Oryctolagus cuniculus: one gene and its partners. The protein of the gene in region 2 interacts with the protein of the main gene of each other region in a pairwise test. Links are inferred from orthologs where the notes say so. Each region holds a gene or a part of one and is shown on either strand. Other genes may lie near its edges. The genes, in order: EIF3H, NCK2, BCL11A, HOMEZ, ABI2, RASSF7 and HOXC4.

Region 1 (3,500 bases), on a different chromosome or scaffold from region 2:
TGTGACCCTATTCTAATGAAAAAATGGTGTCTATTACTTAACACAAAGGATAATTTGTACTAGAAAAAAGATGTCTTTTTAAAATGTAGTATATGCAGCAGGGGGCACCAGATGAAGGCAAAAATGAATGCTTATATTTTAAATCAGCTGCAGCCTGTATCCAGTTCATAATAAGTAATGTCATAGCTGATTGTTTTCCCCTTAGTTTTCATGATGATTTTTTTCAGTTCTAAGAACTGTATTGAATAGATTGATAACTATTCTTACTTATATTCCAACTGAAATTTCTTAGAATCAACCAGTTCAATAACTGCATAGGTTTTCTCCTACATATTTAGGGTTTTTAAAGTTTTAAAAAGGAAAGTGGAAACCACATTTAATAAATAACTTTCTTGTTTAGAACAAGACATTAGTACTGTGCTTTTAATATTTTTTCTACAAAATGTTTTTTCATTAAAGAAAAAAGGAAAGGCTCAGTAATTTGAAAGCTTGGGAATGACTTTTCAATCTGGAAAGCTTTTCCTTATAGCTAATAAATAGTTTTATAAAAATTTGTTTCCAAAAAGGCTTGTTTTTAATGTTGGTGGCATCATTAAGGTTTTTTTTTTTTTTTTTTTCCCCTTTTACTTCCCCTTCTTCCCGTCATCCAGTCCAGTATCAGATGGAAATGATGCGGAGCCTTCGCCATGTAAACATTGATCACCTCCACGTGGGCTGGTACCAGTCCACATACTATGGTTCATTCGTCACCCGGGCTCTCCTGGATTCTCAGTTCAGTTACCAGCATGCCATTGAAGAATCTGTTGTTCTCATTTACGGTTAGTAGGAGATTCCTTTATTAGTATTTTCTTCTCTTAATACTTCACTATTATTACTACTATTTTTGCTTTCTGCCTTTTTTTTTTTTTTTTTTTTGCCTCTGAGAGCAGCCTGGCAGGCCTTCTCAAGTAAATACCAAGCCTGTTTCTGCAGCAGCCTCAGCAGCAGCTCAGTCTAGACAGGGTTTCCTTCTTTCTGTTTATTTTTCTTGCTATCAGAGCCCTGATGTGTACATTTTGGAATGCTGGAGTAGCTGCTTCATTTTTATTCCTCCATCTCCCCTCCCTCATTGAAGGGGCTGGTGGAACTAGACCAGATGTCTAACAAACCCCGATTGCTGCAGTGTCTGGCTCCGTACGTGACTGACCAATCATAACACAGTGTGCCAAGTTTTTTTTTTTTAATACCTCTGACAGCAGCGTACAAAACCTGGACTGTTTCTTAGCACAAAGATTTTTTTCTTTTCGGCCTTTTTAATGGTGTTTCCTCAAGCTCTCCAGACCAGATGTTCTGTGCTGTATCAGAACTGTAGGCAATTTAACAGCTTTATAGCCTTCCCCCTCCCCAAACACTCACAGTTTGCCATATCTGGCAGACTTGCATATAGTTTCCAGCTGAGAAGTAAATGTAACGTCCTGAGTATCTGTCAGAAAAAATACTAATGAATACGATCAATCTTATGAGCTGCCCCAAAATTGTTTCAGTATGTTAACAATTGGATTACAGTAAAGAACAAGTTGTTAAAGTGTACTTATATTGGCTGGAAACATTGCATCATCAGACCTTGATGAATTTTCCACTTGTTTCAATCTATTTTGGTTTTCATTTTATCACCTATTGCTAAAAGTTTCACTGTGTTAAATTTCAGACAACATGAATGTTAACACAGGTTTTAGGCGAATATTGGCATGGCAGAGCCGTTATCATGCTCCAAGTGCTAAGCTCCCTTACCCGTGGAGTGTTTAAGCAGTTAGTTTTGACAAAATTTGTTTCTCTAAAACTTAAAAAACAACAACAACAACAACAACAACAACAAAAACACTTATGTGATGGCATTCCGACTTAGTGGTTATGTTTTTAGAATCTGCTTTAATTAAGAAATGTGAACAGTGATTATTAGGGTGGATAAAGTTTGTTTGCATTTTAAATTAGTTGACTGAAGAACACAGTACATGAAGCAAATTTTCAGGTTTAATACTCATCAGTATTTTCTTCCTAATTATACAAGATGCATAGAGCTTGATAATTAAGTTTTCAATAAGCTGACTGGTTTTAGCTGAGGAGTGAATTTGAAAATATCAAGTCTATTTTGAATCTTTTTTTTTTTTAATGGGAGGAAGTTATTCTACCTATTACAAGGATATAAAGATTTCCTAGATTTTTGCCTATTGTTTGCTGTATTGGTTTCAGTCTACTTCAAGTTGTGTTCTGATTAATCATTTTGATCTTCATTTTGCAAGATTCGTATAAGTAACACCGAGCCTAGAATCAGTGTCATGTGAGCACGAGTAGTAGCAAAATTCTTAGAATTTCGTTCTCTTTTTTGTTATTCAAGATCCCATAAAAACTGCCCAAGGGTCCCTGTCACTAAAGGCATACAGACTGACTCCCAAGCTGATGGAAGTTTGTAAAGAGAAGGATTTTTCCCCTGAAGCGTAAGTGTTTGGGGACTAGGAGGTTTATGGTGAAGAATTGGGTATTTCTTTAAAGACTTTAGTTTGCCACATTTATTGAATCCTCTGTTGTGGAGTGGTAATGCTTTTGCCATGTGTACTGTACAAGTTTCCTGCATGCCAAATATCACTTGATTTCTCCCTTTCCATGTTTAAATTGTTCTTTATGGAATGTCTCGTCTGTTGTTCTCACCAAGAGTGAATTCAGTTAGAGTAGGAATTAATTAGCTACCAGATTTGAAGAAATGAATGATTGAATAAAGGGAGATGGAAGGAGTGGGCAGCACTTGTCAGATTGTAAGCTCTGTGTCTTCTTTTCTGGGATCCTGTTTCATGGGGTTGGAGGGAGATTTAAACATTTGAAGGATTCATTAGGGAATGTAGCTCATTGGAAATTTTGTCAGTGACACATATGCAGAGGATTAACTGATGGGGCTGTTTTGGTGATGCTGTTTAATGGCATTTGAATATTTACTTTTCTAAAAATTTTAAATATTTAGAATATGCTAATTTTTATTTATTAAATCGAAGTGTGTGGCTTTGTGTGTCCTACTTATAAGGCTTTCATTTCCAATTTCTCATTTGGCCCCTAAAAAGAATTAAGGTGCTTAGAATTAAAAAAGAAAAGCTAACTTATGACTGACCAATGGCTAGATGTGATAGAACTCATTGTGAGAACTTACGTTCTTCTGGGTTTTGAACCGTTGTATGTGGAGTCTCCTGTGAGTGATCTGCTAGTTGTTAATTGTTTTTAAGTCAGGAGGCTTTTAAAATGAACTTGAAAGAAATATTGTATTACTTTTTTCTAGCTATGTATTTTAAATATTTTAGACATAGATTGTGTAGCATAACTTATAACTTATTGTGACAAGTACATTTTAGTATTAGTGACATTTTAAAGGTACATGATTACAAAGAATGAATAGATTCTTTTGCCAAGATTCTTATTTTCTGGACTTACAGTTTAAATTCAGGTCATTTTCAGAGATACTCAAATCACTTACTTTT
Region 2 (4,110 bases):
GCAGAGGTTGAGAACATGACAAGGGTCCAACAGCCTGCAATGAAGGTTTAAGTCCCCAGCATGTTACTCAAAGCCTGAAAACTGACCAAGCTACTGGAAATGCACCTTCCACCCATGCCTCTATTTACAAAGGGTCAGTTTCTCTCAACTGGGCCAAGAAGATTACAATGCAGCCAATTTTGCCAAGTCAGTTTCACCCGCCTGTCAGGACCGCTGGCAGTGTTTACACAGCAGCTGAGACTCCCTGAACCCAGAGGAGCAAACCCAGCACTGCCTAAAGCTGCCATCTCACCCTCCGGTGGCCACCACAAGGCCACCAAGACCCTGCCACTCTCCTCGTGTCAAGGAGAGAGCTACTCAGGCAGGACCTGCCCCTGTGGTCACTTCTTCTCAAGCGGGGAGACCGCCCCTCCTCAGGAAAGCCCTCCTGCGAACATCCATGCACCTGCACCCCCCCTCCTGGACCTCGGCCCCGGTGCTCTCTGCCTGCCACTCTTCACATAAACCACACACACGCTGGGAGCCTTTATCTGGGCACAGGTGGTGAGTGCACTAAGGGCGTGTTCTGAGGCACAGCTCAGATCTGGTTTGATAAGTTAAGGCAGCCCGGGTTAATTTCATTTTCCGCCACTTTCAAGACTTGGGGGAAAAAAATAACTCTGTAGGTAACTTAATCAAAAACAGCAGCAGGAAACACAGCCCCCGATTGGTTCTCACGGCTACACAAAAACCCTTCCCGAACTGCCAGGACTGGGGCGGGCCAGGAAGGGACTCCCTACCTGTGGGTCCCCAGAAAGCCACGCCCACCAGCCCCTCCCCCTGGGTTCGGTCTCTCCCTGGGTCAGTGCAAGGAGCAGGCCTGGGTAATGGTGTAGGCCCTTCCGGACGCGACTGGGGCCCACTCACCCCATGATGCCCATGCAAACTTGGCACAAAGCCTCAAACCTGTTGGCCAAATAAGGGAGGCACTGCCACCCCCGCCCCTGCTTTGTCCTGAGGAGGCTGACTTAGCCAGGTGCCTGCTGGCCACCAGCCAGTGACCCCCCAGCCTCCGCCCACAGCCGGTCCCAGGCGATCGGCATTGTCCACAAAGTACAGCGTTATCCCACACAATGCGAAGCCCACACGGCGCCCACGCGGCAGCCGTCGTGGATGCTTTCAGAGTCACACAGGACGTTTTTCCAGGACCCCCTGGCGGTTCCATCGCCCGGAACGCAGAGCGACCGGGAGAAACTTTGGTACAAGTGGCTGGCTCCAAGGGTGCCCTGAAAATCCGCGGCAGGGCGCAGACCCTGAAACCCGCACAAAAGCGCCCAGCGCCGGGCCGTCGACCCTCCCTTACGCGACGTGACAGCAGCTTTGTGTGGGATCAGAAATAGTTGCAATCAACACACAGTTAAGTTCTCCGGGTGCATCGTGACCCCCCGCGTCCCTGCGACCCGGAGATTCCTCCCCCGGCGACCGCGGCCGCCGCTCGGTCCCACGCCGACCCCGGCCCCGGCCCCGTGCCTGCCGCCGTCCGTCCCGCAGGCCGGGCACTCCCTGCGCACCGGAGGTGTCCAGTCCCCGGGCCCCGCCGCCCGGCCCCTGCCCAGCTCCTCGCCCGCGCGCCCTTGGAGGGCGCCCCTGCCCCCAAGCCGGCCTCTGGGGGTAGGGTGGGGGGCCCGGAAGGCGGGCAGGAAGGTGCGGAGCCTGGAGGTGCCGAGCAGTCCACAGCCGGTGGGGAGGGCGCCCAGGCCGCAGCGGGGGCGAGGGCACCGGCGGAGCGCGGAGGGGCCCCACTCCCCCAGCCCCTCCCTGGGCGCGTCCCGGCCCGCGGGCCCCGCCGCGCTTCCAACTCCGCCGAATGGGCCCCCAAGTTTGCGGCGCACACACTTACCTCGCCACGGGCCGCCCACCGAGGCCGGAGGGCAGCGGCGCGGGTCCCGGGGCGGCGGCGGCCGCGCTGCGCCCGCCCAAGCGCCGCTCTTTGTCTGCGCCGCTCCCGCGTCTTGCCGCCGGGCGGACCCCGCCGGCCTGGGCGCCGCGAGCCTCCCCGCCGCTCGCCGCCCGTTCGGCCGCGCGGCTCCGGCCTGAAGCTCCCGGAGGCGGCGGCGGAGGCGGCGGCGGCGGCGACCCTCCCCCGGCGCGCAACGCCCGCCTCCTCCGCTCTCTTCCTCGTCCGCCCGCGCTCCTCCCCGGCCGCGCCGTGACGCCGCCCAGGGGCCGGCCCAGGCCCCGCGCGCGCACGGGGCGGGGGCCCGACACCCACCTGGGGGCGCCCCCGGGCTCCGCCGAGCTCCGCGGCCCGGCCCCGGAACGCGCCCGGCTTAGCCCGGGGCTGGAGAACGCTGCGCTGCGGGGCGCCGCGGGGCCCTGCGGGGCGCCGAGCGCTAGGCTAGGTCCCCGCGCCCGCACTTGCGGGGGCGGGGTGGGGACGACCGTAAAAATGCAGGCATTAACTTCCAGCCCCGGAGGCCGGCCGGGTGGGCTTCGCGTGCTCTTTTTGTTGTTTGTTTAATTCTCTTACCGCCACGCGCGAGTTGGAGAGGAGACCGCGCCCCCCCCTCCCGGAAGCATTCCCACGGCGCGCTCAGCGCAGCAGGCCTGTGGTCCATCAGAAAAGTGACTTCCAGCAAAATGTCACTTCCTCCCTGTGATTGCTTGCGGGCATTTTTATTTTTATTTGGCTTGCGTCTATTTACTTTCCCAACCAGACACGTTTTTAGTCCATTCGTCCCTGGCGGAGGCGCTTCCTAAGGGGAGGAGCGGAACTCCGACCTCTGATGCCTCCCAGGCACGCAAGCCCGCTCCAGCCGCCGGGAGTCGGGTTGCACAGCCCCGGGAGCAGAGCCCAATCAGGAGCCGCCTGCCCCTGGGCCCCTGCGGGTACCGTGAGGGGTGGGCCCGACCGGCTCACCCAGCCTCACCCCGCCTGGAGTTGTGTGGCCCAGTAAACAAACTTGGAAGCTGGAAACCCGAGAGCAGAGGCAGAGACCGGAGAGCTCCCCTTCCGGATGCGTCCAGATGTCTTTTCTCCAAACTCCTTCTCCCCGTGGTTTCCCAGAGGAAACCCTAATGTTCCAAGGATTCCAAAGCCCTGGTGGGATCGCCTGCATCCGTGTCAGTGAGATGCTTTCTTTGGCTCCTGGCTTCTGATCTTCAGGAAAACAGTAATGTTTCACCCAAGGAGGCAAGGCAACATTCTTTGATTGACTCCCTCCCCCAAAGCACCCAAGAATGGGTAAGTAGAGTCCCCGGAGCTCCGTCATCAGTGGCCTGCTGGACTGTGGACTTCTGACCTGTGTAACCTCACACAGGGATTTCTTGACTTTTCTCAAGTCTGTGAAATGGGGAGATAATATCTACCTACCTCCAACAGTACCAGGGACACGCCTTGGCGACAGGTCACCCTTGAATAGCTCAGTATGTGGAAGGAGGTACACTACCTTGAGCAGAGATCAAGTTCAAGATCTGGGACTCAGGACAGCCTCCTGTTTGACTCTGGGAAAGAAGCTACCAAAGCTCATCCTTTAGTGCAAGTCTCATCTTAGGAGTGAGGAAAGCAGAATTTTAGTCCATAGTCGGCCCAAATTTCAATGGGCTTACTCCAAATACGTAGAGCAATATTGACCCTTGTTTGCTTTGTAAAATCTCAGTCATGGTTCTCCTCTTCCTCCTCTGATTCTTTGAAAAACTCACTGATGCCACTCTCTAAACCTTAATCCTACAGGGTCTGCTGAAGCACGTGGCATTTCTACCTCCTGAAACTCCATCATCTTTCCATTGATCTTAGATGATTGATTTTGGTCCTATTGCCTTCTGGCCCGCCCATATTTTCTCCTTATAGGAGGTCTGTTGTCTTCCTTCCTCGATTCCCAAAGCAATCAAGGTTTTAGTCTGATGTGTCCTTTTTTTTTTTTAGTTAACCACCCGCCTGAACTTTAAGAAGAAATTATTTAGTTTTTGTTTGAAAGGCAGAGGGACAGAGAGATAGCCTCCATCTGCTGGTCCACTCCCCGGATGCTTGCAACAGCCAGGGCTGGGCTAGGAACTGGGATCCTATCCAGGCCTCCCACGTGGGTGGCAGCAACCCAAACACCAGAGCCATCATCTGTAGCTTCCCAGGGT
Region 3 (3,500 bases), about 39 Mb from region 2:
CCACTTCCCGTGCCGCTGCGCCCCGAGATCCCTCCGTCCAGCTCCCCGGGCGGCGTGGAGAAGCGCAAGCTCCCGTTCTCCGAGGAGTGCTCCGACGAGGAGGCAAAAGGCGATTGTCGGGAGTCTCCGAAGCTGAGGAAGGGATCTTTGAGCTGCCTGGAGGCCGCGTAGCCGGCCAGCCACTGCGAGTACACGTTCTCCGTGTTGGGCATGGCGGCCGGGGGCAGGTCGAACTCCTTCTCGAGCTTGATGCGCTTGGAGAAGGGGCTCAGCGAGCTGGGGCTGCCCAGCAGCAGCTTTTTGGACAGGCCCCCCGAGGCCGACTCGCCCGGGGAGCAGCCGCGGCCATTAACAGTGCCATCGTCTATGCGGTCCGACTCGCCGGCCACCGAGTCTTCGTCGCAAGTGTCCCTGTGGCCCTCGGCCTCGGCCAGGTGGCCGCGCTTATGCTTCTCGCCCAGGACCTGGTGGAAGGCCTCGCTGAAGTGCTGCATGGAGCTGAGCACCATGCCCTGCATGACGTCGGGCAGGGCGCGGCCCTCGTCGCCCACGCCCACGACCGCGCCGCGCGAGCTGTTCTCGTGGTGGCGCGCCGCCTCCAGGCTCAGCCCGAAGCCGTAGTCCACCCTCTCGCTCTCCGTCAGCTCCTCCTCCTCCTCTTCCTCCTCTTCTTCCTCTTCCTCGTCGTCCTCCTCTTCCTCCTCGTCCCCGTTCTCTGGGATCAGGTTGGGGTCGTTCTCGCTCTTGAACTTGGCCACCACGGACTTGAGCGCGCTGCTGGCGCTGCCCACCAGGTCGCTGGTGCCGGGTTCCGGGGAGCTGGCGGTGGAGAGGCCGTCGTCCGACTTGACCGTCATGGGGGACGACTTGTGCATGTGCGTCTTCATGTGGCGCTTTAGCTTGCTGGCCTGCGTGCACGCGTGGTCGCACAGGTTGCACTTGTAGGGCTTCTCGCCCGTGTGGCTGCGCCGGTGCACCACCAGGTTGCTCTGAAATTTGAACGTCTTGCCGCAGAACTCGCAGGACTTGGACTTGACCGGGGGCTGGGAGGGAGGAGGGGCGGACTGCAGAGGAGGGAGGGGGGGCGTCGCCAGGAAGGGCGGCTTGCTACCTGGCTGGAATGGTTGCAGTAACCTTTGCATAGGGCTGGGCCGGCCTGGGGACAGCGGTGGGCTAGACGTGTTCCCTGCCAGCTCTCTAAGTCTCCTAGAGAAATCCATGGCGGGAGGCTCCATAGCCATCGGATTCAACCGCAGCACCCTGTCAAAGGCACTCGGGTGATGGGTGGCCAGGGCCATCTCTTCCGCCCCCAGGCGCTCTATGCGGTGGGGGTCCAAGTGATGTCTCGGTGGCGGACTAAACAGGGGGGGAGTGGGTGGAAAGCGCCCTTCTGCCAGGCCGGAAGCCTCTCTGGATACTGATCCTGGTATTCTGAGCAGGTTAAAGGGGTTATTGTCTGCAATATGAATCCCATGGAGAGGTGGCTGGGAAGGACATTCTGCACCTAGTCCTGAAGGGATACCAACCCGCGGGGTCAGGGGACTTCCGTGTTCGCTTTCTAAGTAGATTCTTAATCCATGAGTGTTCTGTGCGTGTTGCAAGAGAAACCATGCACTGGTGAATGGCTGTTTGCAAGTTGTACATGTGTAGCTGCTGGGCTCATCTTTACCTGCAAAATAATACAACACCAACATCAATGTTTAATCACCGAGGCGGGCATCAGCAATTGCTTATTTATGTTCCGCTTCCAGCCTTTCCTGCCCCCGCCCCCACCCCCCGGCCCAACCCCACGGTCCACCCACCGCCCCCCAACCCTGGGATGGCTGCATAGTGCCTGGTGCCCTATGATTATCTGTCCAACATGGCTTCTTCCGGCCAAGGAGCTCCATTCTAAAGGATTTCATCTCCAATCCCCAAAGTAGAATTCTAGCTTGAGGAGGAGGATCTCCACACTCAACTCTCTTCTGAAGCTTCCAGTCTCACCTGCTGCAGCTCGGGGCCAGCCATTTCATCTCCTGCTCTGTTAAAGGAGGGACCTGGACAAGGCAAGCCAAGCCCTGTGCTTCCTAAATCCCCGTGTTCTGTACCCCCTGGGGGAGCAGGCAAACTTCCTAAACAGGCAATGCTTTCCCAGATATCAAAACGGAGATGGGCGACTCAACTCAGTACAATTCCCCATGCCCCTAGCGATGCTTTGCGTCCTAGCCCGAAACACAGCAAGTGTTGATTAGATTAAATATGGTGTTCGGGGAGACTTCTCTGAGAAACTCGCCACTTTCTCACATCCCAGCCCATGTGTGTCTGTGTGAGAGAGGGAGAGTCAGCGTCAGTTTTGGCTCCACAGCACCCCACAAAGACAACCATTTTTATCTCAAGGGAAGTTGTAAAAATCTCAGAAGGAAAGTATTAATTAATTCAGGGCTCACTGATAGGCTGTATCACATCTCCAGGAGCCATCGCCCTTGTGCAGTAACTACAAAGTCTAGAGAAGTTAGGGGGAGCGCCTGGTGCCAACCTCAGTAGACATGGCATCCTAGTTGAAGGCACAGTTTTCAGCAGCCAGCACCATGACAGGCAGCAGGCTGAGAAATGCTACACCAGCCTCCTCCTCATTATTTTGAGAGGCTAACAACGTGAACCAAATTATACAACATCCTGCGCCCTCGGCTGAGACTCAACTCCAGTTGAGAAAGAAACAGAAAGCTACAGTTCAGCTAGTCAACTCGTTGGCCAGTAGCCAAGCTGTCTGGAGAGGGGCCCTGCTTAAGTCACATTATTTCTCTCTTGCTGAAAAGAACCCCAGAGTGGTAAATGCCACTTTGGCAAAGAGGGGTCGGCTTGACTTCACAAAATCATTCATTTTTGGCGATAGCTAAATTTAAATATATATAGCTAGATAGCCCATGAGGGTGACTAACCAACAGTTCACCAGGCAGCTGCAGCATTAAAAAGCGCCAAAGTGATGGTGGCCAAAGGATAAGGATGAGAAAAACAGATAACGTCCCAGTGATCCCCAAAACAACAGTGCTTAGAATAATAATAACTAAGAAATAAACTTCTCGGCCGGCGCCGCGGCTCAATAGGCTAATCCTCCGCCTTGCAGCATACCGGGTCGGGGCACTGGATTCTGTCCTGGTTTCCCCTCTTCCAGGCCAGCTCTCTGCTGTGGCCCGGGAGGGCAGTGGAGGATGGCCCAAGTGCTTGGGCCCTGCACCTGCATGGGAGACCAGGAGAAGCACCTGGCGCCTGCCATAGGATCAGCGCGGTGCGCTGGCTGCAGTGTGTTGGCCGCAGCTGCCATTGGGGGGTGAACCAACGGTAAAGGAAGACCTTTCTCTCTGTCTCTCTCTCACTGTCCACTCTGCCTGTCAAAAAGAAAAAAAAAGAAAAAGAAAAAGAAATAAACTTCTCTGCCTCTTCTCCAAGCAGGGCTAGAAGGCTTTCCTTAAGCTCACAGCTAGTATTCGTCAGCAACTTTTTTCAAGAGGACAAAATTGACC
Region 4 (4,060 bases), on a different chromosome or scaffold from region 2:
GACTAGAACCTGGTGTGCCAGCGCTGCAAGGCGGAGGATTAGCCTAGTAAGCTGCGGCGCCGGCCCGCAGGCTAATTTTTAAGTTGGTACTTTTGCATGGCCCACAAATGATGTTTATATATATATATATGTATATATGTATACATGTATATGTGTGTGTGTATATATATATCTCCAAATGGCTCTTGGCAGAAAAAAAAGGTCCCTCACCACTGGTGAATGTGGAGTGGACTGGGGTGGGCCGGGGTGAGGGGGAGAAGCCTCGGCTGATGGTGAGAGTCCCATGTTTTGCAGGACAGTCCCCTGCCAGCCCTTCCAGGGACTAACACTGGAGAATGTGATGCCTGTCATCTGCCCTTTGCACGGCTCAGACATTAGCAGGGCTGACCAGAGGCACGCTCGCCCTACAGCTGGAGGCCCTGCAGGTGCAGCGTCCTCCCTGTCACAGACCTTCACCACTGGAGGAGCTGCAGCAACACGCCAACATCGTCACAGGTTTTTCTAAAACTTGGGGAAAAAAAAAACACCCCAAACTGGAATTGACTGGTATCTCCTTCTTGACTTGACCTCTGTCACATGTCCCTTTCTCAGGTGTCCACAGAGAGGTGATGGGCACTTGGAGACTGGCTGAGGGAGCTGAGGAGGGATCACGTGTACTGTGGGGTTAGTAGGTATACTTGATGGGTTTTGCAGTTACTTCTGTGAATAGAATCAATTATCCCCAGGTGGATACAGTGTTATGGATTAAACTGTGTCCTCCCAAACTTAGGGTTAATGTCCTGTCCCCCAGTACCTCAGAACGTAGCTTCGTGTGGAGTTAGGTTGTTTCTCGAGGTGATTAAGTTCAGCTGAGATGGATGAATTAGGGTGGGTCCTAACACAGTGTGACTGCTGACCTTCCACGAGGAAATCTGGGCACAGACTTGTGATGCACAGGCAGAGGGAAGACCATGAGCAGACAGCCTTCTACAATCAAGGACAGAAGCCTCAGGATGCAGTCAGCTCAGCCAGTGCCCTTGTCTTGGACCTCTAGTCTCCAGGACTGAGAAAACAAATTTAGCACACACCCAGTCTCTGCTATTTTTGTATGGCAGCCCTGAAAAATTAAATTACTTATATGTTTTAAAAATGTGTATTTACTGCCATTTTATTTGAAAGTCAGAAAGAGAGATCTTCCCTCTGCTGGAACACTCCTGAAATGCCTCAATAGCCAGCACTGGGCTAGGCCAAAGCCGGGAGCCCAGAACTCAATCTAGGCTGGCAGGCAACCAAGGACTTGAGCCATCACCCGCTGCCTCCTAGTGTGTGCATTAGCAGGAAGCTGGATCAGGGATGGAGGAGCCTAGAGGAGCTGGGACTCCAAACAAGCACTCTGATGCAAGACGGGAGTGTCTCGGCTGCTGACTTAACTTCTGAGCCAAATGCCTGCCTGTATGTTTATTTCCATTTTTTATTTGAAAGGCAGAGATCAAGCTGAGACCAGGAGCACAGAACTCAATCCAGGTTTCCCATGTGGGTGGCAAGGATCCAAGCACCTGAACCACCACTGCTGCTACCCAGAGTGTGCATCAGTGAGAAGTTGTATTGGAAGCAGAGTCAGGACTTGAACCAAGCACTCCCATACAAGTTGCAGGTGCCCCAAGCAGCATCCTAAGCACTGTGCTACAAATGTGCCTGCCCCCAAACTAATATTTATAGTTCCCATTATTCTTTTTTTTTTTTTTTTTTTTTTTGACAGGCAGAGTGGACAGTGAGAGAGAGACAGAGAGAAAGGTCTTCCTTTTGCCGTTGGTTCACCCTCCAGTGGCCGCTGCGGCCGGCGCACCACGCTGATCCAAAGCCAGGAGCCAGGTGCTTCTCCTGGTCTCCCATGGGGTGCAGGGCCCAAGCACTTGGGCCATCCTCCATTGCACTCCCTGGCCACAGCAGAGAGCTGGCCTGGAAGAGGGGCAACCGGGACAGAATCCGGCGCCCTGACCAGGACTAGAACCCAGTGTGCCGGTGCCACAGGCGGAGGATTAGCCTAGTGAGCTGCGGCGCCGGCTAGTTCCCATTATTCTTGATACTATCAATTCAGAATATATGACATTAGCCATTACAAATTCGAAAAGCTCCAAAATTTTATAGTGGTTTTACCAAGTTTGACAAAAATTCTAAACATTTATGAAAGTATCACAAGGCATGGGGGCAAAATTTTTTAAAATTAACAATACAAAAGTGATCATGTTAGAAGACTCATAGAAAACATACAATCATTATACGAAAAGGCTATCAAAGGCTGTTGGCAAAAAAAGTGGAAATATGAATAATTTTAGGCAGATATTTGGCAGCTTTTTAAAAAATTGTAATTTGTCATTCTGAAAATATCATAATTTTGTATTTAATTTTCTTAAAGGGGCTCCAAAAGTTGCATACTTCAGGTACCCAGAAGCCTGGCTCCAGCCTAGGACTACCAGATGGCCATGGTGAGTCTCTGCCTCCTTAGGGGAACTCTGCTCCAGTGCTCGTGCCCTGTCTCCTAGAAAGACCAGAGCCGCAGGCAGTGAGGCGGCCGACTACTCAGACCTGCGAGTACTGAGGCTTGGAGACAGAGTTGGGAGAGCGAAAGTTAACGCGGAAGGAGTTTGTGGCAGGAGGAGCTCAAACCTACCCCAGAAGACGTGAGGAGTCTGTGCAGGGCTTGGGGCTCCGACTCCAGGCAGGAAGCCGTGGAGAGAAGCCCTGGAAAGCCCCGCCTTACCTCTCCGTGGGTGTTTGCTCCTCATGCTGACCCTGCCCTTCAGCACTCTTAGAGCACACTGAAGAGCGGTGGGCTGGGCAGCGATGACGTCACAGGTCGGCCTTTGTGATGTAAGGAGGAGCTATCAGGCATTCCGTGCTTGGGGCTTGCCTCCTAGGAATGCTGTCACCTCATTACTTTGTGGTAATTGGATTCTCTCATCACTCAGGTGATGTGGGAGCCAATCCTGTGAGAACTTGCTCTTTCAAGGACTCCCTCTGTTATCTATTTCTATCCCTCCATTCTGGATTCCACAGAGGTCTTGCCTTCCTTTCCCCTCCGTTAGCTGTCTTACCCTTTGTTTTAGGGTAACCCCTTATTAGGGAAGGGCATTGTTCTTCCCTCCACTACTCAAGAGCAGAAAGTAACGAGATGACCCCCTAAAAGAGGAAGAATCCCCTGTGAAAAGCAGAAACAGTTTTCCCAGACTGTTCCTTTAACAACACCAACAGCTGGTGCTGGGTGCCAGGGAACTGAAGAGCCAGGCCCTGACTATGCTCCCACTACCCAAAAGGGTGGAGGGATCCTGTTGTGGTGTCTTAAACCATGGCTGCCCATCTCTCCCGTGGTCTTCTTCCATGCAACTTCCAAACAGCCAGAGGACTCCAGCAGAAAAGGAATAGGACTTTTTAAGATTTATTTATTTGAAAAGCAGAGTTACACAGAGAAGAGAAAAAAAAGAGAGAGAGATCTTCCATCTGCTGGTTCACTCTCCAAATGGCTTCAATGGCCTGGGCTGGCCCAGACTAGACAGGAATCTGGAACTCCATCCAAGTCTTCCATGGGGGTGGCACAGACCCAAACATTTGGGCCATCTTTGGCTGCTTTCCCAGGTGTATTAGCAGGGACCTGGATTAGAAGTGGAGTAGGCGGGACTCAGACTGGTGCTCATAGGGGATGATGGCATCACAGGCAGTAGATTAACCTGCTGCGATATGCCAGCAGCCCCGGAGCAGGACTTTTAGGAAATGACCAGGCTAGCATTTGTCTTAGTGGTCGACGCTGCTTGGGACGACCACATCCCATACTGGAGTGCTAGGTTCAGGTCCTGGCTTTGCTCCAGATTCCAGCTAATGAGCACTGTGGGAAACAGCAGTGGATGGCTCAAGTAGCTAGGTCCTCACCCTCCATGTGGGAGACCTGGATTAGGTTCTCAGTTCCTGGCTTCAGCCTGGGCCAACCTTGGCTATTGTGGAGATTTGAGGAGTGAACCAATGGACAGGAGCTGTCTCTCAAGGAAGGAAGGAAGGAAGGAAGGAAGGAAGGAAGGAAGGAAGGAAG
Region 5 (3,500 bases), on a different chromosome or scaffold from region 2:
TGTATAGTTTTTCATCTGTAAAGTTCCACCAAAAAACAACTAGAAATTTCCCACATTTGGTCCATAATTTTTTTTGCAGATCAATTAAACTAATAACCTCATAGAGCAATTTGCACTTGGATTTGTCTCTGCTTGTATTCGGCTTCCTGACTGTTCAAAGTGGCATCAGAACATGAGGAGAGAGAGGTGGAATCAGATGAGGTTTGGGAGAATAGAGTGAGGAAAAGAACTGAGCGCGTAGAAAATGAGAGAGACTGAATCGAGGTTAGCTAACCGGATCATGGTACTATGACCATCACATTTTGCGCTGAGGTAGAGAAAATACCTGTAAGTTCGATTTCTTTGATTCACAGAAGCTGTCCTCACAGGGCTCTGCTGCGAGGGAGCCATATTACGGGTTGGGCTAGGTACGTAATCATTTGGTACCACTGGAGGACGCACTGGCTCCAGTGTGCGATAGGGGGAGTGCCGCCTACAAAAAGAAGAGCGTATGTAGTGTGTGATTAAGCAAGTTTCGGCACAATAAACTCAGAGCTGCCAGTAGTGCAATACAATTGGAAAATGAGAGAGGAAATGTCTTTTAACATAACCCAGCTACCAATTGCAGTCTTTCCTAAAGATTTACTTCTCCATCATTAGGGTTCTGGTGAGCACGTATTGTTAATTTGCCATCTCCAACCTCATTTCCCTGTGCTAATGCAATTTTGTTCATTTACTTTTCTGAGAACACAAGGTTCTCCACCATGTATGCCAATGTGTCCTAGACCCAACTCTTAGAAGAGATTATTGTAGTATGTCACCGTCTCCCAGCTGCATTGCATGAATGTTCCTACTATCGTTCTCCCCTCCCTCCCTCACCTAGGGTAACCTAACAGGGGGACCACAAGCCTCGAGTTTTGAATCCATAACCCCCATACTGCCTATCGATACCACCCACAACAACTCATTTCCCTTTCTAGATACTAAATACATTAAAGTATATGTGTACACAAAACACACAATTTAATCTCATCTTCCACACTCACAACCTCACTTTTTCCCCTCAACTTACACCTTGATATCCCTTTCCTCTTCTCAACCTCAGAGTTCAACATTTACAAGTGGTAGAGAAAAAAAAAATTTTAACAAGACCACCAGAGCGGCCAGCACTGTGGCATAGTGGGTAAGGCCACTGCCTGCAGCACCAGCATTCCATATGGGCTCCGGTTTGTATCTTGGCTGCCCTTCTTCCATTCCAGCTCCCTGCTTATGGCCTGGGAAAGTAGTAGAAGATGACCCAAGTGCTTGGGTCCCTGGCACCCACGTGGCACACCCAGAAAAATCTCCTGGCTCCTGGCTTTAGATCAGCCCAGCTCCCCAGTTGCGGCCATTTGGGGAGTGAACCAGCAGATGGAAGACCTTTCTCTCTGTCACTCCCCCTTTCTGTAACTCTACCTCTCAAACCTCTCAAATAAATACATAAATCTTTTAAAAATTTTAAAAAGCTGACATCTTACAGATGAGACTCGTCTTTTTTTTAAAAAAATTAAAACTGGCATCTCAAGGTTTGAAAATTAAAGTTTTGTTTTCCTGAAATAATGCTACTCAAATGACTTACGTATTTTTCTCAATAATTCATTTATCAAAAGGCTCCAAGAGTGCTTTTAAACACTGTTCTCCTGGGCCCTTAAATGATGGCTAATTGATTTTGAATGAGATAATTTTGCAACAACCCTGCTGAATCTGAGAGCTGCAGATTCTCCTTGCATAAATATATACATATAAATAATTAAAAATAAATATGGTGCACTTGATGGAATATTGGGCCAAAAGAAAAAAAAAGAAATGTCAGGAGTTTGGGTTTAAAATACTGAAAAGAATGTCAAACATTTCTGAAATTTTAATGCAAATATAAATGACTAAGCAGAAAACTGAGCAACTTCCAGAGACATGATTTTTAGGTAATTTTTCCCAGACAATAAAAATGCTGTTTTCTTCAAGAAGAAAACCTTTACTGACTGAGAACTACAGAGTGGAAGCAATGATACAATTAAGGTACAAAAACCAACAAGAACACCACCACCACCACCACCACCACCAAGGCAGAAGAACAAACACGGTGACTAGACAAAGACTATGCCCAAAAAGCAGGCTCCGACCATCTAACGGCCACGTGGCTCAGCAACCCTACAGTCTACAAAGATGCGACACGACCAATGCTGTTACACGAAGAAAACAAATACTGATGCCTGAGTAAATCTTCAAAATATCAGAGTACAAAACTTTCTTCTTGGACATGCAGCAGGTTATCCTGCTGATTTAATACCTACTAAAACCCTCTAGGCCATATATGTGATAGGAATGTAAATGTTCTACATGAATGAACAGTTCCTCTTGATCACTGTACCCTCATCCCTGTCCCACTGTGCGTGAACATCTCACTTGCATGCTACCCTCAAGTTTGGTCCATTAGATTAATTCCTTTCTAATCAAAGAAGAAAAATTTTTTGTCTATCTCAAATAAAGCCGTCCTATTCCTGACTGGAAATAATTTTTATTCTTTTATTCTTTTGTCTTTCACTGTCTTAACTATACTTCCTCCCCCAACATTATCCTCCCTTATATCCCAATCATCTTTATCCTGTCCTGACCCACAGTGCCACAGTGCTTGACTGGATTTTCGGTTTTGTTGTTTATCTTGTTTTTGTACTTTGTGTTTTTTGGTTGTTTTTTTTTGGTGAGGGGGCCAAAAAACGATTGTCAATTAAAATTTGTTTGCCATATATCCTATAGCCAATGGTATTCAAAACATATTGTCTTTGTTTTATACATTTTTTTAAAAATCCAAATTGTGGTACAGTGACCCTGAAAAGTTTATAAAGGACAAATATTACCCCCTTTTACAGATGAAAAAACTGAACTGTTTAGAGGCTGAGCAGGCAGGAACACACAATAAGCTGCAGAACCAGCCCACAGGTGCACTCCTCTGGCTTCTGGGCTACATTATGCCCAAGCAAATACAAATCTCGATCAAGATAAACCATGTTTACAGTGTGAGGCCATGGAAGAATGTCAGGCTTTTCCATTAATTGACCATTTCTGCTTGCAAAAGTCAAATCCAGAGCCTAAATCTGTAGGAGCAAACTACAGCTCAAGATTCTCATAACATGTTAGACAGAACTTTATCATCTATACAACCTTCTTGAGAAAGACAGTCTAAGTTCAACTGCAATAAGAAAGACCGCAAAAATTTTCTGGAAAAAAACGGAAATTAAAAATTAGACTGCAATTTATAATAAACCATTACCTTGGACTAGGATTTTACCCCCAATTTGAACTGTATTAGAAAAATAATTTCTAAACAAAATATTTCTGATGTATAAATGTGTATTGTCCAGGAAAAGGGAAAATTATACCCATAATATAATCAATTCTAGGAAGGAAACATTCTCTCTTCAAATACTCAAAAATAATTTAAATACAGGCTCTGCTTAGCTTTTAACACAACATTAGGTGAAATC
Region 6 (4,023 bases), on a different chromosome or scaffold from region 2:
CCCCGGGTCACCACCGAGTGGCTCCCCATCTGCCAGGGGCAGGGGAGCCCCCTCCCCAGCTTCTTCAGACAGCAGGCCAGACTTGGGGGCCATTCTCGGTGTTCTCGGGGGGCCGGGAGGGGTGGCTGGCCAAGCGTTCCCTGTGTCCGGTGCGTGGGCTCCTGCTGGGCCATCCGTGGGTGTCAGCAAGGCCCCAGCAGCACTGCTGAGGGGCCCCATGTGCACCTGTCCACCCCCCAGGACACCAGACCACCATCCCATGGGCACCCACCCTGACTGCCACCCACCAGGGGTAAAATGGCCCCCGCAGGGCACACACCCCCTTGTCTCTGTCCCCAAGTGCTGGCTGGTGTCCCCACCCCAGTCCAGGGCCCCAGCCCCAACACTGACCCGAGGCCTGAGCGCCCAGCAGGCCTAGGGAAGGAAGGGCTCTCTGGTTGCCGTGGATACTGGCACCACAAGTGGGTGGGGCTGTTTGTTACCAGGCACCTCCAGAGAGAACCCCCCCAGACCAGGGCTCAGCTGGAGGAGGTGCGCCCAGCCAGCCCTAGCCTGGTGCTGGTGAGGGAGTTCTGGGGGCGCCGGGCCCTGGGAGGACTGGGACAGAGAGCCAGGTGTGGAGAGAAACTAGGGCAGCCGCCGGCAGTGTACACCCCGGCACCCAGCGCCTGGTGCTCCCCTAACCGTGGGAGTGACCGCGACAGGGTTCCCGTGCGCCAGGGAACACACCGCAGCCCCACCCAGGCCAGGGGCAGGCGGGACGAGCCTGGGGTGGCACAGGCTCCGCGTGCCACCCTGGCTGCCCGGCTGCCCCCGCGGAGGGGCTCCGGGCCCGCGCCCGGGCGCGCAGGCCAAGCTGTCCGCAGGGCCCCGCCGGGGTCACAGCCCCAGCCTTCGTCCCCCGCCGCCCTGCGGGGCGCCCCCGACCCCGGGCGACCCGGCGACAGTCGCCGCGGGTCCTGAAGGAGAAGGCTGGGCGGGGGGGGGGGCGTCCCGCTGGACGGCGGCGAGGAAGTCGGCCCGGAGCCGGCACGCACCTGCCCCGCAGCGCCGCAGCGGCAGACGCTCTTCCGCGTTGTTCGCCGGCGGGAGCGGCCGGGCCTCGCCTCCCGCCGGGCCCCGCCCACACCTGGGCGCCGCGGGGGGCGTGGCGGGCGGAGAGCCAATGGGGCGGGGCGGGGCGGAGTCAGCCAATGGCCGCGGGCGCGGGGCGGGATGCACGCTGTGAGGAGCTAATGAGGGCGCGGCGGGGCGGGACGTGTGGGCCGTGGGCCAATGGGGTCGTGGAGCCGGGGCGCGCCGCGGCGCTGGGGGCGGCAAGTGGCGGCGGCGCCGAAGCGCCCCAGCGCCGGAGTCGCGGAGGCCGGCGACCGCCCAGGTGAGCTGCGCGGCTGCTCGGGCCTCGCCGGGCGCGAGGCGCGGCCGGGGCACCGACTCCGGCCGAGGAGAGTTTTGCGCGGAGCGGGGATGGGAGGGCGCGCGGGGGCCGCGCCGCACCTGCACCCTCCCGCTGCTCGGCGGGGCAGGGAGGCCGAGGTGCGGCCCGCGGGGAGCGCGGTGCGCGCGGTGCGCGCGGTGCGCGCGGTGCGCGCGGTGCGCGCGGGAGACGGAGCCCGGACCCCCCAGCCAACGCACCGAAGGGCCGGGCGCGGGGGAGGGGGCTGCCCGGGCCTGGAGTCGGGTCGGTCCAGAGGGTCCGGAGCGCCCAGGGCCGCGGGGGCGTCGCGGGCGCCCGTGGGTGCCCGGAGACCGCCGCCCTCGCTGCTGCCCGGGAGGGGCAGCGTCCTCTGAGCCAGGTGACTGGTGGGGGGGGCAGGAAATCCTGGATCTGGTTAATGATTCGCTTGGTTCCTGGAGTGGGGGCGGGGCACGGGGCGGCTGGCGCGGGGCGGGGACGCCTCCAAGTGCCCACCGGGGGAGGGCAGGACTGACCCTAAGGGCGGCAGCCCCGAGCCAGTTCCGGGGGGCAGACTGGGAGGAGAGGGCGTCCCTGCTGACCGGCGACCTGTACCTCCCCTCAGGACAGGGATGCTCTTGGGGCCGGCGGCCATGGAGCTGAAAGTCTGGGTGGACGGCGTCCAGAGGGTGGTCTGTGGGGTCTCAGAGCAGACCACCTGCCAGGAAGTGGTCATCGCACTAGCCCAGGCAATAGGTGAGTCTTTGGGGGCACAAAGGGTCTCAGGGTGCCCACCCTCTGGCCGGCCGGGTAGACGGGGCGGGGCCGTGGCTGACCCTGTGCCATTTCCCCTTTAGGCCAGACGGGCCGCTTCGTGCTGGTCCAGCGACTCAGGGAGAAGGAGCGGCAGCTGCTGCCACAGGAGTGTCCAGTGGGTGCGCAGGCCACCTGTGGACAGTTTGCCAACGACGTGCAGTTTGTGTTAAGGCGGACAGGGCCCAGCCTGGCTGGGAGGCCCTCCTCAGACAGCTGCCCACCCCCAGAGCGATGTCCAGTCCGTGCCAGCCTTCCCCCAAAGCCACGGGGAGCACCCAGCTGTGAACCCCGGAGAGCACTGACCCTCAGCCCGCAGGGCCCCAGGCCGTCCCTCGGCCCCGCGGCCCCCACGCCAGAGTGCGGCACGGACCTGCAGGGCCTGGAGCTCAGGGTGCAGAGGAACGCCGAGGAGCTCGGCCACAAGGCCTTCTGGGAACAGGAGCTGCGGCGGGAGCAGGCCCGGGAGCGGGAAGGGCAGGCCCGCCTGCAGGCCCTGAGCGCAGCCACCGCGGAGCACGCCGCCCGGCTGCAGGCTCTGGATGCCCAGGCCCGCGCCCTGGAGGCCGAGCTGCAGCTGGTGGCAGAGGCCCCCGGGCCCCCCTCAGCCGCGGCGTCGGCCGCCGAGCGCCTGCGCCAGGACCTGGCGGCTCAGGAGCGGCACAGCGTGGAGGTGCAGGGCAGCCTGGCCCTGGTGCACCGGGCCCTGGAGGCCGCCGAGCACGCCCTGCAGGTGAGCCCAGGACCCCAGCCCCAGCACCACCTCACCCGTGACGCAGGGTCTGGCTGGGGGGAGGGCCCTCCGCAGGGCAGGGCCCTCTGAGGGTCCCTCGTGCCCCCAGGCCCAGGCCCAGGAGCTGGAGGAGCTGAACCGGGAGCTCCGGCAGTGCAACCTGCAGCAGTTCATCCAGCAGACGGGGGCCGCGCTGCCACCCCCCCCGCGGCCAGAGGGGGCCTCCCTCGGCACACAGGTCAGCGTGGTTCTGGGTGGCGCCCGGGAGGCTGGAGACCCAGCCCAGCTCCAAGCTGGCCATGTTTCCGACAGGACCTTCCGCCTCCAGCCACAGAGGAGTCCCTCCTGGGAGTCCCCCGGAGTCCTCTTCTGGTCCCCAGCCTGAGCCCTGAGGGTATGTGCCCCGCCCCCCGCCCCTGCCCTGGCGGGACAAGGCCCTGCTCTGGCCTCGGCCTCACCAGCCCTGTCCTCCCCACAGTGACCCCGCTGAGGCAGAACTCCTGGAGGTAGCAGGAGCGGCACCTGCAGGCCACCCAGCCCCCGGCTCCGACGGCAGACTAGCAGATGAGCCACAGCTGCCTGGACCAGGCGGCAGGAGCGTGGGCACCCGCGGGGCGGGGGTGCCGAGGAGGACCACCCTAACCCTTGCCAGGAGCGTGGAACATGGCCCGAACTCACGTGTGCGCGTGAGTACGTGGCGAGGATGGCGTGTGCCACCCCCAGACTCCAACTTGAGAACCTCAATAAACGCCCGAGTGGCTTCACTGTGTGCCGAGGTGTGTGGAGGACGCTCTCTAGGGGCCGTGGAGCTCCTGCGGGGGGGCCTGGGAGACCGCTGCTGGGTCTGCGGTGGTCCCACGTTCTTGCTCTGTCCGGGCCTTCCCATTGCGAGACCTGCTGACCCTGTCCTGGGTTTCTCTCCCACCCAGCCTGCACCCCGCTAGCACCAGGAAGTGACAGCAGGACGAGCCAGACCCGCCTGTCAGGTTTACTGTGTCTCCCAGAGGCCTCGTGGGGGCGGGCCCAGGGCTCCCGGGAGCTGCCACTGGGGAGCTTTGCCAGCCCCAGGGAGGGGGTGGGC
Region 7 (2,899 bases), on a different chromosome or scaffold from region 2:
ACTTGGCTGCTTCAGAATCACCAGCTCCAAACCTTTCTTCTTCTAAGAGATGGGGAATGTCGGGGAGGGGGCCGGCTCCCCCAGCCCTCACCCCCAGGAGCCCTGGAGGCTCCAAACTCCTCTGCACATCAGGCAGGGCCCACTCAGCAGAGCCCAGGGAGGACAGTGAAGACAAAAAGAAAGGACAGAGGCTAATATAGAAAAGTGAGGACCCCCAGTTCCACCGACAGTACCCCAGAGGGGGTCTGGCCTCCCCGCAGACGGGGGAGGGGGGAAGCCTTAATCCTCCCCATCCTCTCTCCTCCCAAGACCTCCCTTACCCCCAAAAACCCCTTGCTGCTGCTTCTAAGGACACCCGGGAGACTACAGTTGGGAGTTCAGATTTGTGTGTTTGCTCAGAGTAAACTCAGGCAACTCTGGAGGAGGTGGGGCAGCACCAGGCCAGAAGGAGGAAGAGGAGGAGGAGGAGGGGCACAAAAAGAAACCATCAGACATTGCCGTAAAACTAATTCACATCCACTGGTTTATTATCGATCACGGGGCATTTCACATCGACACTAAAATTCTTTATTGCAAGTTTTACAATAATCAAGTAAATTCAGTCCAAAAAACACAACGACCACGACGGGGGTGGGGGGCGATCCTACCTACAGACCCTCTCTCTGAACTGAAAGTTCATCTTGGTTTTCCTTTTGGCCTCTGGAACTGAGCAGCTCAGAGAGGCTCCTCAGATGCATTTCAGCTTTGTCTGTCGTCTCTCCCCCCTCCTCCCACCCCCCCACAATAATACAAAAGAACTTCATAGCTTTGTTCTCCTTAAAATGACTTCCCCCTCACTAACCTCCCTGGTGCATTTTCAATGCAAAAGGCCTAAGGAAAGTGGGGGGAAGGAGGAGAAGGGTGAGAATTGGCTTAAAAATCTCTCTCTCTTTTTCCTTTTTTCTTTTCCTCATTTCCCCTGAAATTCACCCAAACCAGACCGTCGCACTTGCAATATATAATTTTTGCAGCTTTTTTTTCTCCTTAAAAAATAAATACCCCCCCAATCAATGGCCTTAAAAAAAAAAAAACCCAGCAGGTACCATGCTAAAGACAACATTACATGCTTGACAGTGGAAGGGAACAGGGCAGAGAGAGTGTTTATCTGTTTTTGTCTGTTTGGAATTGACAAGGGACAAGGTGGGAGGAAGCGAGAAAAGAACCAAAATATATATATATATTAAATTCTATAAATAAGAGTCAGTTTGTGTGTGAGGGGAGGTGGGGGCCCGGGGTGGGGGCAGGGGTGTGAGCGCCGTTTTATAACCTGGTAATGTCCTCTGCCCGCGGCTGCTCCGGCGGCGTGGCGCTCTGGGAGTGGTCCTCAGAAGGGCCCGGGGTGGCTGCCGACAGGGCGCTGGGCGCGGCGCCGGCCGGGGGCGCTGACCTGACTTTGGTGTTGGGGAGGCGGTGGTCCTTCTTCCATTTCATGCGGCGGTTTTGGAACCAGATCTTGATCTGCCGCTCGGAGAGGCACAGCGAGTGGGCGATCTCGATCCTTCTCCTCCGGGTCAGGTAGCGGTTGTAATGAAACTCTTTCTCTAATTCCAGGACTTGCTGCCGCGTGTAGGCTGTCCTCGAGCGCTTGGGTTCCCCTCCGTTATAATTGGGGTTCACTGGGGGGGAGGGGAGGGGAAAAGCAGAGAGTGGGGTTCAGAGGCGGCAGGCTCCCCAGCCCCCACCCTCACCCCATCCTCAGCTCTGAGGAACAGGAGGCGGGAGCGGTGGAAATGAAGTCATCAAGCTAAATGGGTTATAAAGAAGTTGAAGGAAGCTGGCGACTTTGTAGTGTAATAAGAGGGGAATCCTCATTGTAACGACACTGAATTATTTATGCGCCCTTAGAAAGCGAGCATAGTTTTCACACATACATAACAGATCGTAGCACATGGCTCGGACTGCCCAGAGTAGCTAAGCCATAAAATTTATGGGGGATGTAATTACCCATTCTCGCTCGTAAATCCAGTTCAATTGTGCTAACCCAGAGTCGCTCCTGGAGAGAGAGGGGGAAGGAGAGAAAAGAGGACGGGGCCGGAGGGGGCCGGGGAGGGTGGGGAGCGCCGGGGAAGGGGGGGGGAGCAAAGCGCAAAGTTGCCTACCCGTGCTCACGTGGATTTTCTTCATCCATGGGTAGACTATGGGCTGTTTGCTGGCGGCGCTGGAGGGGTGGTCGGGGGCTGGCTGGCTGCAGGCTGGCGGGGCTGGGGACGGGGAGGCGGAGGCGCCCGAGAGAGGCGCCGGCTCACAGAGCGGCTGCGATTTCTCGGGGTGGTGGTGGCCCGCCTGGGCCGGCCCGTGGCCTCGCGAATTGCCCGGCCCCTGGAGACTGGTGCAGCTATACTGGCGCTCGGGGTAGCTGGGGCGCGGAGGCGGTGGTGGGTACAGCTCCTGGTGGTGATGCTGGAATCCCGATTCCCTGGTCCGGCCGTAATATTCCGGACTGTGTTCAGGGATGTAGCTATTTTGCGAATATTCTTCGCATGGAGGAAATTTCGGATCGATGTAGTTAGAGTCCATCAAATACGAGCTCATGATCATTAATTTCTGGAGTGGAAAATAATTTTTCTCGCTTTGTCGTTTTTCTGCTCCATAAAGCCCTCCTACTAGCTAGCGACCCTGTAAAGTTACTTTCACCATGTGACTCCGCCGGCCAATCACACGGAGCAACCCAGTCCCCGGATAAGGAACCGAATCGCTTTATTCAAAATGTATCCAATTTTTTGTGTGTGTGGTGGTGGTGCTGCTTGGGGGGGGGCAGTGATGTGGGGTTAGCTGGCAGAGGCTGGGATGCCCCCCCCCCAGCACACACACCCCTCCAGACTGGCAGTCTCTTCCTGCTCGCGGCTCCAGCTCCACAGCC

The links.
Region 1: the proteins of NCK2 (region 2) and EIF3H interact in binary tests that used the Homo sapiens proteins (3 or more experiments, as listed by UniProt). The two-hybrid records come from large-scale screens. The link is inferred for Oryctolagus cuniculus from reciprocal best matches to the Homo sapiens genes NCK2 and EIF3H.
Region 3: the proteins of NCK2 (region 2) and BCL11A interact in binary tests that used the Homo sapiens proteins (3 or more experiments, as listed by UniProt). The two-hybrid records come from large-scale screens. The link is inferred for Oryctolagus cuniculus from reciprocal best matches to the Homo sapiens genes NCK2 and BCL11A.
Region 4: the proteins of NCK2 (region 2) and HOMEZ interact in binary tests that used the Homo sapiens proteins (3 or more experiments, as listed by UniProt). The two-hybrid records come from large-scale screens. The link is inferred for Oryctolagus cuniculus from reciprocal best matches to the Homo sapiens genes NCK2 and HOMEZ.
Region 5: the proteins of NCK2 (region 2) and ABI2 interact in binary tests that used the Homo sapiens proteins (3 or more experiments, as listed by UniProt). The link is inferred for Oryctolagus cuniculus from reciprocal best matches to the Homo sapiens genes NCK2 and ABI2.
Region 6: the proteins of NCK2 (region 2) and RASSF7 interact in binary tests that used the Homo sapiens proteins (3 or more experiments, as listed by UniProt). The two-hybrid records come from large-scale screens. The link is inferred for Oryctolagus cuniculus from reciprocal best matches to the Homo sapiens genes NCK2 and RASSF7.
Region 7: the proteins of NCK2 (region 2) and HOXC4 interact in binary tests that used the Homo sapiens proteins (3 or more experiments, as listed by UniProt). The two-hybrid records come from large-scale screens. The link is inferred for Oryctolagus cuniculus from reciprocal best matches to the Homo sapiens genes NCK2 and HOXC4.

What each region holds. Positions count from the first base shown.
Region 1 is NC_091437.1:142,277,377-142,280,876, reverse strand, and holds part of EIF3H (eukaryotic translation initiation factor 3 subunit H), read left to right. Parts: intron 1-650; coding exon 651-818; intron 819-2,374; coding exon 2,375-2,474; intron 2,475-3,500.
Region 2 is NC_091433.1:102,853,616-102,857,725, forward strand, and holds the start of NCK2 (cytoplasmic protein NCK2), read right to left. Parts: upstream 2,801-4,110; 5' UTR 2,510-2,800; intron 2,152-2,509; exon of another isoform or gene 1,880-2,151; intron 1-1,879. UniProt on the Homo sapiens protein: Adapter protein which associates with tyrosine-phosphorylated growth factor receptors or their cellular substrates. Maintains low levels of EIF2S1 phosphorylation by promoting its dephosphorylation by PP1.
Region 3 is NC_091433.1:142,200,592-142,204,091, reverse strand, and holds part of BCL11A (B-cell lymphoma/leukemia 11A), read right to left. Parts: intron 1,670-3,500; coding exon 1-1,669. UniProt on the Homo sapiens protein: Transcription factor. Associated with the BAF SWI/SNF chromatin remodeling complex. Binds to the 5'-TGACCA-3' sequence motif in regulatory regions of target genes, including a distal promoter of the HBG1 hemoglobin subunit gamma-1 gene.
Region 4 is NC_091443.1:51,744,413-51,748,472, reverse strand, and holds the start of HOMEZ (homeobox and leucine zipper protein Homez), read right to left. Parts: upstream 2,801-4,060; 5' UTR 2,766-2,800; coding exon 2,651-2,765; intron 1-2,650. UniProt on the Homo sapiens protein: May function as a transcriptional regulator.
Region 5 is NC_091434.1:36,665,846-36,669,345, forward strand, and holds part of ABI2 (abl interactor 2), read right to left. Parts: intron 473-3,500; coding exon 326-472; intron 1-325. UniProt on the Homo sapiens protein: Regulator of actin cytoskeleton dynamics underlying cell motility and adhesion. Functions as a component of the WAVE complex, which activates actin nucleating machinery Arp2/3 to drive lamellipodia formation.
Region 6 is NC_091432.1:215,385-219,407, forward strand, and holds RASSF7 (ras association domain-containing protein 7), read left to right. Parts: upstream 1-1,223; 5' UTR 1,224-1,235; coding exon 1,236-1,378; intron 1,379-1,648; exon of another isoform or gene 1,649-1,796; intron 1,797-2,021; coding exon 2,022-2,152; intron 2,153-2,253; coding exon 2,254-2,942; intron 2,943-3,051; coding exon 3,052-3,180; intron 3,181-3,254; coding exon 3,255-3,336; intron 3,337-3,420; coding exon 3,421-3,452; 3' UTR 3,453-3,711; downstream 3,712-4,023. Other genes in the region: LMNTD2 (lamin tail domain-containing protein 2), read right to left, coding at 1-93. UniProt on the Homo sapiens protein: Negatively regulates stress-induced JNK activation and apoptosis by promoting MAP2K7 phosphorylation and inhibiting its ability to activate JNK.
Region 7 is NC_091442.1:57,015,260-57,018,158, reverse strand, and holds the end of HOXC4 (homeobox protein Hox-C4), read right to left. Parts: 5' UTR 2,578-2,899; coding exon 2,139-2,577; intron 1,656-2,138; coding exon 1,300-1,655; 3' UTR 501-1,299; downstream 1-500. UniProt on the Homo sapiens protein: Sequence-specific transcription factor which is part of a developmental regulatory system that provides cells with specific positional identities on the anterior-posterior axis.